Tribolium castaneum: one gene and its partner. The protein of the gene in region 2 interacts with the protein of the main gene of each other region in a biochemical or structural test. Links are inferred from orthologs where the notes say so. Each region holds a gene or a part of one and is shown on either strand. Other genes may lie near its edges.

Region 1 (4,110 bases), on a different chromosome or scaffold from region 2:
TATGATTCTAAGGAATTGTTTGTCTCTTGTGTGTCACTTAAAAAACTTGAAGTATCACTTCCTTCAAGTAAATTGAATTTAATTTCTGGTTTAAGGATTTCATAAGAGAAGGAAGACACGTAAAAGATGCAAAATAAAATACTCTACAGTTAGAATAATTATTAATTATACCATTGTAGAATGCCTCGGGATTTCTCATCTTATCATGAATCTTTGCGTGAGAAAAAAGAATCCGAATTTTTAGTTATAGTAAAATTATTACAAAATAATTGATAAACATACATACTGCTATATATAAAAAAAAAACAGATAAAAATGTAACTGGCAATAAAAAAATAAAGCTATGAAACTTTTATAGGGGAATACCTAATCCTACATTAACAAAAATTCCTAATGGAATAGAATGGAGCTAATTCAGCAGAAGAATACAAGAAGAGTTTCCCTCAATATGGAATACTCTTAAAAAATTTCCACCGCGACATGTTAGATCTTCATCTATTAACGCCTTTACTTCAAAAACAGATGAAACAAAAAATCTTTTATATTTATGAATTTAAAAGTTCTTAGCCTGCAAAAAATAATAATTGAAAATAATGTGAATGTGAGTACTTTTGAGGACTATTATATTATGATTTTGTTTACTTTACACTTGTTTACTTTAAAAAATAAGTTATTAAATTATTGCAAATTGTATAAAAAATACATATTAAGCTCTGTATATGGCTGCAGCTTTTATTTTTGCCTCCAGTTGTCTATAATTTGATAAGTCAAACAATTAGCAGAAGCATTCGCTTAATTTTGTAAGCTTGTCCTTGTCTTTATTAATACAGAAATATGCATTTCTTTTGCATTAACTTATGCTAATCAAAATTATGAAAACCTTATACTTAAATTCTTATCCTTACTTTTATTATTTTATTTTATTTTCAGGAAACGTTTCACTCGTTTCCTGAAAAGTTAAGTAAAGCTAGAGATGTTACCTGTTGGAAATAGACCGCCCATTTATTATTTTATTTAGAAAACAGCATACAGTTTCATTTCATTTTTTCATTTAAACGTTTATTTTTTATAAAAACTCTAAAATTATTTTTAGTTTTTACCTCGTTAATGCTTGGTTACAAATATTTAATACGAGATATCAACTAGTCTGAGAGATAATAATTAAGATTGGATTTAGAAAGAACATACAATTGTAATTTTTTTTATTACCTACTCTTCTTAAGTTTTCACAAGCAAACAGTATTTTTTCCAAGCATATTTTCTTAAAACACCCTTTGGTTGTAAAAAAATGATGAACTTACAATCACTGCTTAACGCATTAATAATTTTTTTTTGTTTTCTCAAAATACCTTGGCAAGACAAATGCAAGTGACAATCCCTACAAGGATTTTCGTAATTTTTGCAGAAAACAGAGCTTAATTAAAGGTCTTTTAACTATAAAAAACAATGACAAATCAACAGTTACTCCTTAGAACCTTACATATTTTTTTCTTTTGTCAATTTTTGATCAGAAATTTTGAGAGCATGGTACAAAACACCTCTCCCCCAACTTACTCGATATTTTCTGTCCACTTCTCTGTAGAAATTCTCTTGATTGATGATCAAACAAATGCCAGGTCTTTCTGGATCAATAAAATATTTATTTTCATCGCTGACAAAAGCTGCATTGTCTGCACTGATATGCGACGTCTCCAGCGAGGCCAGACTAAGCAAACTGGACTTTGGATCTAAAATTCCCTCAAACACACTCACTGACTGTCTTTTTTCACTCTCACTAGAATCTACTCTTTTATCTACACTTCTACTCTCAGCAGATTTGTGCACAATTGGCACAATTTCTCTCAGTTTATCACAAATATCCAACTGGTCAATTTGCTTGAGAACTCTACACAAATTACTCAAATCGTCCAGTTTTACGTACCCCACAGTCTCCCAATGCAGCAAATACAACTCCAAAAATTGCGCATTAATGCACTTAAAATCCAGCCCCTTCTCCCTGAAGTCCTTACACGCCAAGTTGAGCAAATTCTCAACGTCCTTCTGCTGCAACGCCTCGCAGACGAAATAGAGGGCCTTTCTGACTTTGTTCACATAGGCGTACGTGAAAATGTGGTGCGGTAAAAACCGAGCGGTTAAATCCTCCCGTTTGAAGCCCAAACTTGATATGATTTGGTAATTCTGGATGATGCAAAGTGCCTCAACCAGCTTTTCTTGCCACTTCCGACCGGCTAAGTTCTCATGAATTGCCCAATTATACAAGAGTTTGTCATGGGACCCTTGGAGCAATTTCGTTAGTTGAACAAACGCAGATTTGGGGTCTTCGTAAATCAAAAACACAAGGGCCACCTGTAACCATTCTTTATTAAAGGATAGCTCCCAGAAATAACTACCTTCTCGTAGTCATCCAAGTCGTTTTCAATGGACATAACTTGGTCCACATTTAGCGTTATTGGCATCGCTGGTTGCGATAAACTGGCGTCTATGGTGTCAGTGGAGTCCAAACAATTGTCCTCATCTAAAACATCGCTCAAATTAATACTAAATTACTGGAATTAAATACGTAACAAAAAGTGGGGTTATGTTGCAAAAAATGACACTTGAGATCAAAAGTTGATAAACAAATTTACCAAAGGTAGGTTGATTTTTGCACGACACCTCGTTGCTTTCCTCTTCGGAACACGAATCGTCGGAATAATCATTTCCTTGGCTTGAAAACAATCCACCCATTGTCGTTGGTTTTAAATAACAATTAATTCGATAAACTGATTAAAACACGTAACTCAACAAGGGACTTCCCCGTGATGGCATCCATGCGAAAAATCCCTAGGTTTTAATCAAAGGACATGAGCCAAACAGTAAATCAATAAAAAGATGACTGCGATATCGATAAATTGGCTGCGAATTGATTTGGAACAACAAAATTTAATTTTTTACGTTAATACTTTAATTAAATTCTTAATCAAAACAGAAAATATCCTACTAAACATAGGACGCAATCGTGTAGAACGCCATTCAAACAGGCGGTAAATTTAATAATTTCGCTCTGGGACAACAATAAAACTACAAACAAAGTTTTTAATCAATATTAGATCAAATTGGTTGTTGTGACACAGAACTAACAATGCGTTTTATTTTTGGCCACTGGGAAAGAAATGTTTTAATCTTTTCCACACAATCCTCCCGCCAGGGATTCCCCTCCAGATGCACAAAGTCCACCCTTCTGAAAGCCTCCTCTAAATTTCCCTCCACACACCCCAGCTTATTTCCACTCAAATCCACACTTCCCACCGTCGCATTAGCCAGCCATTCTGGGTCCAAATCCACAATCAAATTATCCCTCAAACTAAAATTCACCACTTTCTCCAACCCCGCGAAACTTTCCCGTGAAACTTCTTTAATCAAATTTCCTTGCAAATCAATGCTGTACATTTGGGGATAATTCCGGAAGGCTTGGCCCGGCAAAGCTCCAATTCGGTTAAAACCGGCGAAAATGTAGGCCAACTTGGGGGAATTACTCAACCATTTGTCATCCCATTGGGTTAAGTTGTTGTGGTCGATGTGCAAAACACTGAGCTGAGACATGTCGTCGAATGACTTGGGTTCGATTTTCGCGATTTGGTTGTAATTTAGTTTCAAAGTTACCAGTTTCGACTGACTGAAGACACCTTCAGGGACGTGGTGAAGGGTATTAGCGGTGAGGTCCAACGTGTCCAGTGCGGGAAGATTTTTCAAGTCTCCGGGCTTTAGAACTTGAATGGAATTGAAACTCAAGTCGAGATATTTTAAATCAGGGAAATGCAAATCGATTTCGGTCAAATTGTTGTTGCTCAGGACCAGATTTGTTAAGTTTGTGATTGGTCCGTCGATTTTTCGGAGCCCATTTCCGTACAAATTCAAGCTTTGGAGTGAGACGTTTTCAAAAGTCCCGTTTCGAATCTCAGAAATTTTGTTGTTACTGAGTGTGAGATGGTGAATTTTGAGGTTTTTGAAAGCCCCAAGTTCGAGTTTGGAAATTTCATTGTCACCTAAATTCACACTTGTCAGGTTTAAGTTTGTGAAAGTTCCTCGTTCAATAACTTTGAGCTCATTGCGATTTAAAATCAAATGGGC
Region 2 (3,422 bases):
TTCAAAATGAAATGAGAAATAATAATAAACAATGTATGTTACAGTGAAAGTGTAATAATAAAAAAGAATTATGTATTTTTTCATTAGAGAAAATGTAGTAAGCAAACCCAGAGGGCTTTCAAGATGATTACTTTCATTTATATTTAAAATAAGTTCAACATTAAAATTATTTTGGTAGTCTCTTTCCTAGATTTTTGAAAAAAAAAATAAATGCTCGTTTTCTGAGCTGGTTTCAATATTTTACATTTAAATTTTTGTGAAATACCAATAATGAAACAAAAATTAGTTCGATTGTTACTTCCGTCCTACATACGTTTTTTTTTAAATTAACTACAAATTAACGTTTGAAAATTAAATGTAAAATAAATATTTGTTCTTATCTAACTAGAAGTACTTAGTTTTTGGCGGGCGATAAAACTTAGTATGCCATTAGAATGTAAAAAATTTAGCGACTTCACTGACATTTCAGTTGTGTTCAGATTGTGGTAAGGAAATTAAAATCATGAAAAATATATAAAATGATAACCGCTAATTGTTTTTATTCATGATAAGGTACCAAAATTAAAAACTTAATGACAGGTAAATTATATGGTCAAGTTTCTATCCTGACTAGTATTATAGTCATGTTGTAGTCTCTTACCAATGTTTTGATGCAATATTTTCGCAAAAAATCGTTACCAGAGGGCGCAAAGTAGCTCAAAAATCTCATAAAAAAACAAAGTATACAATCCTGACCTATTCTTGTTACCCCCCTTGGGGGCATTTTTTTTGGGATACTGCGAGGGTGCATCCACCACCAATGAATAGTCTTGTCCAAACTCATTGAACAATCGACGAAACTCCTCCGAATCAATGTTAGTCATCGCTTGTTGTAGGTCATCACTGGTAACTTCTAACTGAACATCATCAAGCAAACCTGGCGTGTTATCGATACATAAATTATTGATCGGTAGCGGTAATTCATCACTAGGTAAAGACGAATCGTAACTAGTGTCATAACTCGTCCTTGCTCTTTTGGCACCCGGCTTATAAACACTTGAACTGGGGGTGTAAGTGAACTCTTTCGCCTCACTTCGGGAGCGATCGGACGGCCGTTCGAGCTCAATATAAACCTTAACCGGGGATTTGATGTTGGGGTCTCTGTATGGGGGCGTTTTGAAGACAATGGCGTACTGGTGGTGGACGTCCAAGTCGCTGAAACGGCCATAATCCTCCCACAAGATGTTGTCATCGTCGTCCAACTCATACAAGCGTATTTTAATGTTCTCTAAACCAATAAATGAATTGACAATTTTTCACAATTAATTGACTCACTTTTGGTGACTCTCTCGACTAAAATAAACACCTCTCGGCCCCCTTTCGCAGGGCTGGTGCAGTGGTCCATTCGCACGATTTTTAATTCGCCCGTGAGGGCGCTTTCTAGAGAAAATGAGTCAAAAACCCGAAAATTTGAGTCAATACTTACTCAAGTTATTGATCGTGTGTGAATAAACCGGCGGGCAAATAGGATGTAGTATCCCATTGTTTTCATAAAAAGCGTCAAATCGCAAGACAACAACATTCAGATTAATGAATTTGCTTTCAGCCTCAGCCAATCCCTTAATCTGAAAGGAAAAGTGGGATAAACACATGACAGATAGCTTCGAGGGCTCGACTACTGTGGGTTTTGAAACGTTTAAGTGAAGATATCCACATATGTTTATTACGAAGGGTTGGGTAAAGAGACTTACGGTCGCATTCGCTGACTTGAGCGAGTCTCAACTCGCACCAGACACACATGGCTCAACCTTAAAATTGATAAATGTAAGGTATTACATTTGCAAATTTGGGGTTAGTGTCGGTTATTCTTTATAGTGCAATCAAAACCTGTGTTATCATTTATGCGATTTCAGCCGGTTATCTGAATCGTGGTTACATTTCTTTTATCACTTATCAGCAAATATTATGAGTCAGAGTTACTTAATACAGACAAAATATTTATAAATAATGCAAACTTACACACAAAACCTTAAGACCATAAAGAATTTGGCTTTGCAACCGAAACTCAATCCTATGATTTTTTTTAAATTGCGTCACACTGCCATTTTTGTTATCACAAATGTGGTTCGCCGTAATTGGTCCATTTGAACGAGCGACGCTCTCATTGGCGAATACACTTTTGGCGCGTTATTTAAGATTTGCCAAAGCAAACACGAAATACTTGTATAATTTGCCGCCATTTTGATGCTTTAATATAGTCGATTTTTTTATAATCAACTGTCTTAAAGCCGTCAGGTTGGCACTATCATGAATAGTAATTTTTTTGAAATAAGGTTGATGTAATTTTTTAGCTGCCAAATTCAGTTTCCAAATTTTACAAGTTGTCTCCAATTTAAAACACGTACAACAACACATTTAGTTATTTTCTAACGTCCAATTTTCAAAAATGTCAAATCTGATGTCCAAAATGTCAAATACAGAATACAGCCAGTTTCAAAAGTGGCTGGACATGAACTTTTAGGGTGATACAGTCTGGTCTTTATCAGAATTTTGACATTGACAGTTTATTATATAAAAAATGGACTATAGGCATATTAAATGTCATTAAGTGCGATGTCATAACAGTCATTATTTGACGGAACATTTTACGAAAATTTTTAGGTTGGCAGGAAGCAAATTCGAGACCGTATTTTTTCTAATTTCACAAATTTCAAGAAGCGTTCATGCTATATTACCTTTATAATCTTTGATGCTCGTGTTTTTTGACAGAATTTAAATAAAACAAAAATTTTAATTTAATTTTTCACTTTCAAAATTGGGATATTACCAACCGTCACAAAAATCCCTAAATCGACAAAAATAACAACTTTTGGTCAAAAACGACAAAAAGGGTGCAAATTACAAAAAACAGTATAAAAAACTGACGCCACTCGTTTTTTACACTGAATTCGTGCTTTAAAACTGGTCTTATGAAACTTGTTTTGTAATATATCAGCTGTTTCAAAACTATAAAAACGCCAACGCATTTTACCGAATTATTTTTTTAAATTAATGATTAGATATCTCATTGAAAGTATAAATTCCATTAGCTAATACTATTATTTAACGAGTTTGAGTGTAAATCGGACGCTTTATTTCACGAGTGGATTATTACACCACGAGTGAAAACCTAATTTTTTTTCCGAGATTTCACGCCGCTTTGCCACTTTTTGCGACGCGTTCTCGTTCGTGTTTTAATGGCACGGTAATTACTTCATACGAAGCATGATTGCTGTAGATGTCTGTTGCATTTTAAGGAACAATAAAAAAATTATGAAGAAATCAAATACAGATTCCTACTTTTCAACAAAGCTGGGAATTTAACTTAATTCCTAAAACAATGAAATACGAGACCGTGACGTTAGAGAAAAATCAGATTAAAATATAATCCTATATCTAATAAA

Evidence for each region. The genes of interacting proteins can lie anywhere in the genome.
Region 1: of the proteins of Rel (region 2) and Dredd, one has a biochemical effect on the other in vitro, tested with the Drosophila melanogaster proteins (2 studies listed by BioGRID). The link is inferred for Tribolium castaneum from reciprocal best matches to the Drosophila melanogaster genes Rel and Dredd.

What each region holds. Positions count from the first base shown.
Region 1 is NC_087398.1:10,957,872-10,961,981, forward strand, and holds the start of Dredd (caspase-8), read right to left. Parts: upstream 2,840-4,110; 5' UTR 2,728-2,839; coding exon 2,628-2,727; intron 2,619-2,627; exon of another isoform or gene 2,566-2,618; intron 2,516-2,565; coding exon 2,391-2,515; intron 2,347-2,390; coding exon 1,555-2,346; intron 1-1,554. Other genes in the region: leucine-rich repeat-containing protein 15, read right to left, coding at 3,091-4,110. UniProt on the Drosophila melanogaster protein: Effector of the programmed cell death (PCD) activators rpr, grim and hid. May play an apoptotic role in the germline as well as soma. Fadd interacts with Dredd to promote cleavage of Dredd and is necessary and sufficient for enhancing Dredd-induced apoptosis.
Region 2 is NC_087400.1:6,389,380-6,392,801, forward strand, and holds part of Rel (nuclear factor NF-kappa-B p110 subunit), read right to left. Parts: intron 1,605-3,422; coding exon 1,466-1,604; intron 1,420-1,465; coding exon 1,315-1,419; intron 1,268-1,314; coding exon 736-1,267; intron 1-735. UniProt on the Drosophila melanogaster protein: Transcription factor that plays a key role in the humoral immune response as part of the peptidoglycan recognition protein (IMD) signaling pathway.